Linked DNA regions of Lytechinus pictus. The protein of the gene in region 1 interacts with the protein of each later gene in a biochemical or structural test. Links are inferred from orthologs where the notes say so. Each region holds a gene or a part of one and is shown on either strand. Other genes may lie near its edges.

Region 1 (3,932 bases):
TCCAAAGCTAATGACCAAAAATCACATGCAAAGAGGGGTGGGATCAGAAGCTGATATCTTTAAAAAAAGAAAAGATACTGATCTTGGCGTAAAATATTATATCTTTATTTTTTGTAGGTATATGTGTACTGATGGTGGAAGTTTGATGAATTCATGAGAAAATTTTGTTTGTAAATTGAATTTATGAAAAGTGTTACTTTGGCAATTAATACGATCCACTGACATACAGCAGACGACTCTGGATAGACTCTGCTCCAGTCAAATAATCACCTACAATGGAAGTCCTAAGTCAGTCAAAGGGGTTTTTTTTTCTTCAGATCACAATATCCAGTATTACATCCAGGACACACTTGGCCTAAGGTGGATGTAGACCCACCCAAGGGTTCATCACATGCCGCCACGCACAGAAAAATCAAGCCAAAGAAGTCGTGTGTTGTGGACCCAAGAAGTGAGATCCCAGCACGCGCGACCCACTAGTTAGAAATCCACTGCCAAACGCGGTTCGTGGTGCGAGGTTAGTATACTAATACTAACCTCGCAATACGTGTGAGTGGATGTAGACCCTAAGTGCACGTACACTAAAGGGTTAGATCAAAGTCTTATTCAAACAGATTTCCGTTCTGTGATCCCAAAACTCAATTGCCAAAAAGTCAAAACCAAAGGCAATCTATTATTATTTGATTGTTTGAGGGCGTGGCTCTACTTAACATAGAAAGAGAGGGGGAAGTTTAATTTTCAAGGTTTGATACAGTCATATTTTCACTCACACTAGTGCGAGGTTAGCATTAGTATACTAAAGCATTTTTTTTGTATTAGGCCTAGTAAGTAGTATACATTTTAATTGAAATGAAGTGATTGAACACGTCATTGAAATTTGAAGTCAATTCAAATTTCAATGACGTGTTCAATCACTCCATTTCAATCAAAATATGTATCAAACCTTAAAAATTAAACTCCCCCCTCTCTCTCTATGTTGTGTAGAGCCACGCCCTCAAACAATCAAATAATAGATCTCTCAGTCTCAATCACATTGCGTTGCATTATCGCCATATCGGCAATAAGCAATTCCATTCTGGGCTTTAGTTTATCACAGTCCCATATACTGATATTGATGTCTGATGATATTATTACTTACACTGGGCAGGAGGCATGCACACATATTTCCTCATAAATGGACTATTCCTAGCCATATTTCGAATCGCTTTGGACATGGGTTTGCTGATCTGCTTCACTGCAAGAGTTCCAAGTTTTATTATCGGGAAAACCATTTTTACAAGAAAGTTACCACCTTTTCTGACGTAAAAAAATTGCAGAACATTATCTGCCGGAACGTTTACAATAGTCTTTTTGTAGTCATTTCTAAATTTTTCTCGTACATTTTTTATTGATAAGCCAAGTCTGAAAGTATTTCAAATTAGTATCCGAGTGTTTAAATTGTAAGCTTAATTTAAAAAATAGAAAAAAATAATCATGATAAGATAACGATTAATGAGGTATGAAATAATTTTTAAAATCACATTTCCACGATACCTACGTAAATAAAAAGACTAGTTTTTACATGCCTCAGAAATTGCGTAATTTTTCATAATCTCCACTTCGTCATAAATTCTGTCTCTTTTGCTTCATTAGTTCATATTTTCATAATTACATCACCAGCTTTAATCATAGAAAAAGATCATGTCGCTGTTTACTCAAATTATTCGGCCGTCTTCGAGGCTTTTTCGTAGTTTCCAGGCGACCGGTCTTTCACTCTGCCAGCTACGATTGCTTTCATCGGAGCTGAAAGAGCGGATCGACGGGCTAGTTCAGGGGAATAAGGTGGTCGTGTTTATGAAGGGTGTTCCAGAGCAGCCGCAGTGTGGATTCAGCAATGCTGTTGTACAGATCTTGAGGATGCATGGAGTGGACAGCTATGAAAGTCATAACATCTTAGAGGATGATGACCTGCGGCAAGGTATTTAACATGGCAAATAGTAGACAGCTGGCAGCCGTCTGTTTCGAGGAGTTTTTTAACTTTTTTTTTTTTTTTTATTTCTCCTCGGTGAGTGAAGCCAACGGAGTTCAGCTGAACAACCAACATAACAGAGACCGAAGCTTTTGGTCTAGGCAAATAGTTGCTTCCCCCTTTTCCCCATTTTGTCGTCACTGTTTTTCCGTAACATGTTTTGCTTTGAGTATGTTGAGTTTGAATATTTTTATTTTCTACAAGACTGAACGTTACATTATTTACGGTAGTTAGATCTTTGTTACATATTCAAGTTTTAATGAATACCAATATAAAGATTTTTAGAAAGTTTTTAATTCTCGTATAGATACATTGACATTTGGCAATCTCTTCATTAAACTTAATTTAACTTGCAACTCATCAGTCATTAGCTCACATAAATTAAAAAAAAAGTAAAACGTTGATCGATAAAGACAGATTGATCAAATTGATATTACTCAGTCATACATGCACATGCAGTTATATTTTGGTTGAATCGATCATAACCTGATAATACTGTTGGCCTCTAAAATCCAGTCATTACAAGAAAATGTGAAAAGGAAAATTGGTCTTTTGTATTGGGATAGGGAATTTTTTGAAAAATGAGGAACAGGAATTAAATTACTGGAGACTTGGCCAAATATTTTTTTTTTCATTAGATTTTTACAATTGGATATAAATCTGCTAAAAAATATATCATCTAATTGTTCAACCACACAGGTATCAAGGAATACTCAGAATGGCCGACAATCCCTCAGATTTATTTGGATGGTGAGTTTGTAGGAGGATGTGACATCATGATTCAGATGCATCAGACAGGTGACTTGATTGATGAACTAAAGAAAGTCGGAATCAGATCAGCGTTACTCGATGCACCCAAGGAAGATGAACCATCAAAATGATACTTAAATATTTTGGAGGATACTTTTATCTTGGACAATTCATGAAAACTGGAAAATCCACTTTGAATAGTTGGAATAACAGTGATAGTATATAATCATGTTTTTTTAAAGATTTCATAACGCAGGTTACTGGTATTCATTTTACCTCTGCATGAGTGGGGGCATCTACATGTAGCTCTTAATATAGAAATATGGAAACTCGCACAAGTGTTTATAGTGATGGCACTAGAGAGTCTATGGGCATTTTGTTGCCTTAAATTTGAGCTCTAAATAAAAAATAAATAAAAAGTAATCCTTGTTAGGTCACTGAGCTTACCTTGAACATTGAGGGGGTGGGGCAAGTAATCCCTGTAGGTGTTTCTCCCACCCTGCAAAGGTAGAGCACCCCCCCCCCCTTTCATCTGTAAGGTAGTGCCAACTCGTTGGATATAGCCTAATGCTTGGTGTATTCGATTTCATAAAATTTAAACCATTAACATTGTTCATTGACACCAACAATTTGGGATTCGAGATATTATGATTGACCTTATTACAGTTCTGTGCATCAGCCCTTTATTTTCAATGTATTTTTGTTTTTAATTTGGGTATGACTCAAGTCTTGATTGATATTATATTTAGGTAACCTTTGTTTTTAGAGGCTTGTTATACTTTCATCTCTGGGGCAAAGCTAAATTAACTGATTAGCTGTCCTACTATATGCTTGCTACAGGCTCTTTCTAGACAAAGTGAGATAATGGATTTCATCATGTGAAGTGATAAATGGAACATGTATATTATGAACAGTGTAAGAGGGAAATGGTGTCATATTCATGTGAAAGTTGATGAGTCTGACAAATTCAATACTAGTATCTAGGAAGTATCTCTATATAGGGTTTCAAACTTGCCTCTTGTCAGGAGATTAATATTGAAAGTGTAAAAAAAACCAAGATTTTTAGCCATTCAATTAGCTATTTAAATTGGATGGAGCGCTTTTTGGCTATTATATTATCACTCCAAAGATTATTCTTCTTTGAGGCTCAACATAAAATTTGCACCAAACTATCATT
Region 2 (3,932 bases), on another chromosome or scaffold:
ATGGGCGTAGATCCGCTCGCGCTTTCTCGGGGGGAGGGGGGGGGTGGCGCTTTGTGTTATTACGTAATATCTCCCAGATGAATAGAACTTTCTGCGGATCGACCCCGGGGATCGACAACATTGATTATTCATATTTACATAATGTATGTAGAATCTGATTTGACTTTTATATACCCATCGTTGTTTTTATATTAATATGACTATGTTGACAAACTGTTGATCTGAGCATGTTATCCTGTATCATTAAGATATTAAAATAAATATATAAACAAAATGATGAATAAATGAATAAAATGATTAATTAATACATTCATTCATTCATTCATAAAACTTAATAGGTCTTTAGTTTCATTTTATTTATCCTTTTTATTGTTCTGAAGGACACAACCGGTCGAGCTCATTGTAAAGTGGGGAGGCAATTTCAAATACTAGGACGGGCCGCGAAATTATTTTTTCCATCGCAGTTCTGGAAGCCAATATAAATATTCATATTTTGGCTTCCAGAACAGCGGTGGGAAAAATAATTTCGCGGACGGGCCGGTGAAACGTACGGGGCGGGTTCCATGGCCACGCCCATTACATTTGCTCCGGCAACAATTGCTCCGCTCTGGATTCCACGTACACACTAATGGAATCCCCAACTTCAACCCTGGATTTAACACTAAAACCATTGCAACCCCCGGGTGCAACCCTAACCTTTTCCCCCCCTTTTTTTAAAAAAGAAATTAAGTCCGGAGCATATGTTGTGTCAGCCGGTGTCACCAACGTATGTACTGTTGACCTTCCTTTGAGTATCATATTTTTCTTATTTAATCACCTCGATTGGTGAATCCATTTGTAAATCAGATAATTTCACAAACAATATTTGTTTGCTCTCTGAAAGGAAGGTGTACTGTAACTGTTCCAATTCGCTTGCTGGATTTACTTTTGCTTTTCACTTCTTTTCTCTTCAAACTCTCAATTTCAAAGACACCATAGCAAAACTAATCGCGAAGAGGAGTTCTTCAACGTTAATCGCCAAGGAAAAGGAATTAATTTTAATGATTTCAGGTATTCATGCTCTCTTTTCATTTTCAATTTGATGATTTTTATATCCAAGGGAAATCAATGAAGTATTATTGTAATGAAATTGCCATGAATTTCTTTAGTTTAAAACTTTAACATCTCCAGACGTGATCCATGTCCCGCAAAAAAAAAATGGCTTTGCCTTTGCCTTTGGCTTTGGTCCCATGGACTGATTTTTAAGTTAGTTTAGAACTTTTGCAGGGTAGATCGTGGAGGGGGGGGGGGGGGGGGGGGGGGGGGGGGGCTCGGGGAACAGGTGTCCCCCGTGTCCTCTTCTTCCCCTCTGAGTACAAACCATTTTCTGGTGTATTATCTAGTCTTGAGGACGCAATGATGATGACTTTTAAAATAATGAAATATACTTCTTCATCATTGTCTTGACGTCTTGACACTCCCATCTGCCCATATATATAGTCGCAGAAGAGAAGGACCAAAACTAGTATAATATATACTAACCTCGTACACCGAACCGTGTTTGACCCTTGATTTCGAAGTAGTCGGCAAACATCGCTTCATTGCTGAAGTAATATTTGCCGAAACTCCTTCTCGCTACTCACCGGGGCTCTTTCCGGTAAGTAGCAATACATGATTAAAAAATTAAAAATGTAATTTGAATATAATAATCGGTCAAAAAGAGCAAATTTCGCTTACCTCGGCCTGGAAAGTAACTTCGCTTGTCTCTTCTACGGAAATACAAGGAGGCCCGTTGGTGGCGCTAATAAATTTCACAACTAAGCTTGTAACCGATTTTGCAATCGGCGACCGATTCCATTCGATTTCACCACAATCGGCAATCACTTGCCGATCTTCGATCATGCCCCTTGAAGGAAAAAATCGAAAATTAAAAATCGGCGTAGATCTGGTTACAGTGCGTGATCGCTCAGAACATATTTCAAGATTGTTTTTGAGGTGCTAGCTATTTAGAGGTCGCATTATTCAGGGAGAAAGACGCGGTATTATCTATGGCGATGTTTAAGAGGATAGATATCTTCTCTTCCAACTCATGGTGATAGCGGATGCCGCCGTGAACTTTGAAAGGTCGTATTACCGATGGAGCTCACTGCGTTACTCTCTTACATCGTTTATGATGATATACATTTTATTTTCAACCTCGTGGTGATAGCGGACCCCGCCGTGAACTTTTAAAGATCGTGCTACTGACGGAGCTCATTGCGTTACTCTCTTACATCGTTTATAATGATATAAATCTTCTCTTCAACCTCGTGGTGATAGCAGACCCCGCCATAAACTTTTAAAGACTGTACTATTGGCGGAGCTTATTGCGTTGCTCTCTTACATCATTTATGATGATATTCATTTTATTTTCAACCTCGTGGTGATAGCGGAAGCCGCCGTGAACTTTGAAAGGTCGTATTACCGACGGAGCTCACTGCGCTACTCTCTAACCCCGTTTATAATGATATAAATCTTCTCTTCAACCTCGTGGTGATAGCGGACCCCGCCATAAACTTTTAAAGACTGTACTATTGACGGAGCTTATTGCGTTACTCTCTTACATCGTTTATGATGATATACATTTTATTTTCAACCTCGTGGTGATAGCGGATGCCGCCGTGAACTTTGAAAGGTCGTATTACCGACGGAGCTCACTGCGTTACTCTCTTACATCGTTTATGATGATATACATTTTATTTTCAACCTCGTGGTGATAGCGGATGCCGCCGTGAACTTTAAAAGGTCGTATTACCGACGGAGCTCACTGCGCTACTCTCTTACCCCCTTTATAATGATATAAATCTTCTCGTCAACCTCGTGGTGATAGCGGACCCCGCCATAAACTTTTAAAGACTGTACTATTGACGGAGCTTATTGCGTTACTCTCTTACATCGTTTATGATGATATACATTTTATTTTCAACCTCGTGGTGATAGCGGATGCCGCCGTGAACTTTAAAAGGTCGTATTACCGACGGAGCTCACTGCGCTACTCTCTTACCCCCTTTATAATGATATAAATCTTCTCGTCAACCTCGTGGTGATAGCGGACCCCGCCATAAACTTTTAAAGACTGTACTATTGACGGAGCTTATTGCGTTACTCTCTTACATCGTTTATGATGATATACATTTTATTTTCAACCTCGTGGTGATAGCGGATGCCGCCGTGAACTTTGAAAGGTCGTACTATTGACGGAGCTCATTGCGTTACTCTCTTACATCGTTTATGATGATTTACATTTTATTTTCAACCTCGTGGTGATAGCGGACCCCGCCGTGAACTTTTAAAGATCGTGCTACTGACGGAGCTTATTGCGTTACTCTCTTACATCGTTTATGATGATATACATTTTATTTTCAACCTCGTGGTGATAGCGGATGCCGCCGTGAACTTTGAAAGGTCGTATTACCGACGGAGCTCACTGCGTTGCTATCTTACATCGTTTATGATGATATACATTTTATTTTCAACCTCGTGATAGCGGATGCCGCCGTGAACTTTGAAAGGTCGTACTATTGACGGAGCTCATTGCGTTACTCTCTTACATCGTTTATGATGATATACATTTTATTTTCAACCTCATGGTGATAGCGGATGCCGCCGTGAACTTTGAAAGGTCGTATTACCGACGGAGCTCACTGCGTTGCTATCTTACATCGTTTATGATGATATACATTTTATTTTCAACCTCGTGGTGATAGCGGATGCCGCCGTGAACTTTGAAAGGTCGTACTATTGACGGAGCTCATTGCGTTACTCTCTTACATCGTTTATGATGATTTACATTTTATTTTCAACCTCGTGGTGATTGCAGACCCCGCCGTGAACTTTTAAAGATCGTGCTACTGACGGAGCTGATTGCGTTACTCTCTTACATCGTTTATGATGATATACATTTTATTTTCAAC

Evidence for each region.
Region 2: the proteins of glutaredoxin-related protein 5, mitochondrial-like (region 1) and bolA-like protein DDB_G0274169 form a complex in vitro, tested with the Homo sapiens proteins (2 studies listed by BioGRID). The link is inferred for Lytechinus pictus from reciprocal best matches to the Homo sapiens genes GLRX5 and BOLA1.

What each region holds. Positions count from the first base shown.
Region 1 is NC_087251.1:13,198,777-13,202,708, reverse strand, and holds the start of glutaredoxin-related protein 5, mitochondrial-like, read left to right. Parts: upstream 1-1,124; 5' UTR 1,125-1,135; coding exon of another isoform or gene 1,136-1,268; 5' UTR 1,269-1,677; coding exon 1,678-1,954; intron 1,955-2,704; coding exon 2,705-2,886; 3' UTR 2,887-3,932. Other genes in the region: putative OPA3-like protein CG13603, read right to left, coding at 1,136-1,268.
Region 2 is NC_087262.1:22,486,628-22,490,559, reverse strand, and holds the start of bolA-like protein DDB_G0274169, read left to right. Parts: upstream 1-971; 5' UTR 972-1,040; coding exon 1,041-1,050; intron 1,051-3,932. UniProt on the Homo sapiens protein: Acts as a mitochondrial iron-sulfur (Fe-S) cluster assembly factor that facilitates (Fe-S) cluster insertion into a subset of mitochondrial proteins. Probably acts together with the monothiol glutaredoxin GLRX5. May protect cells against oxidative stress.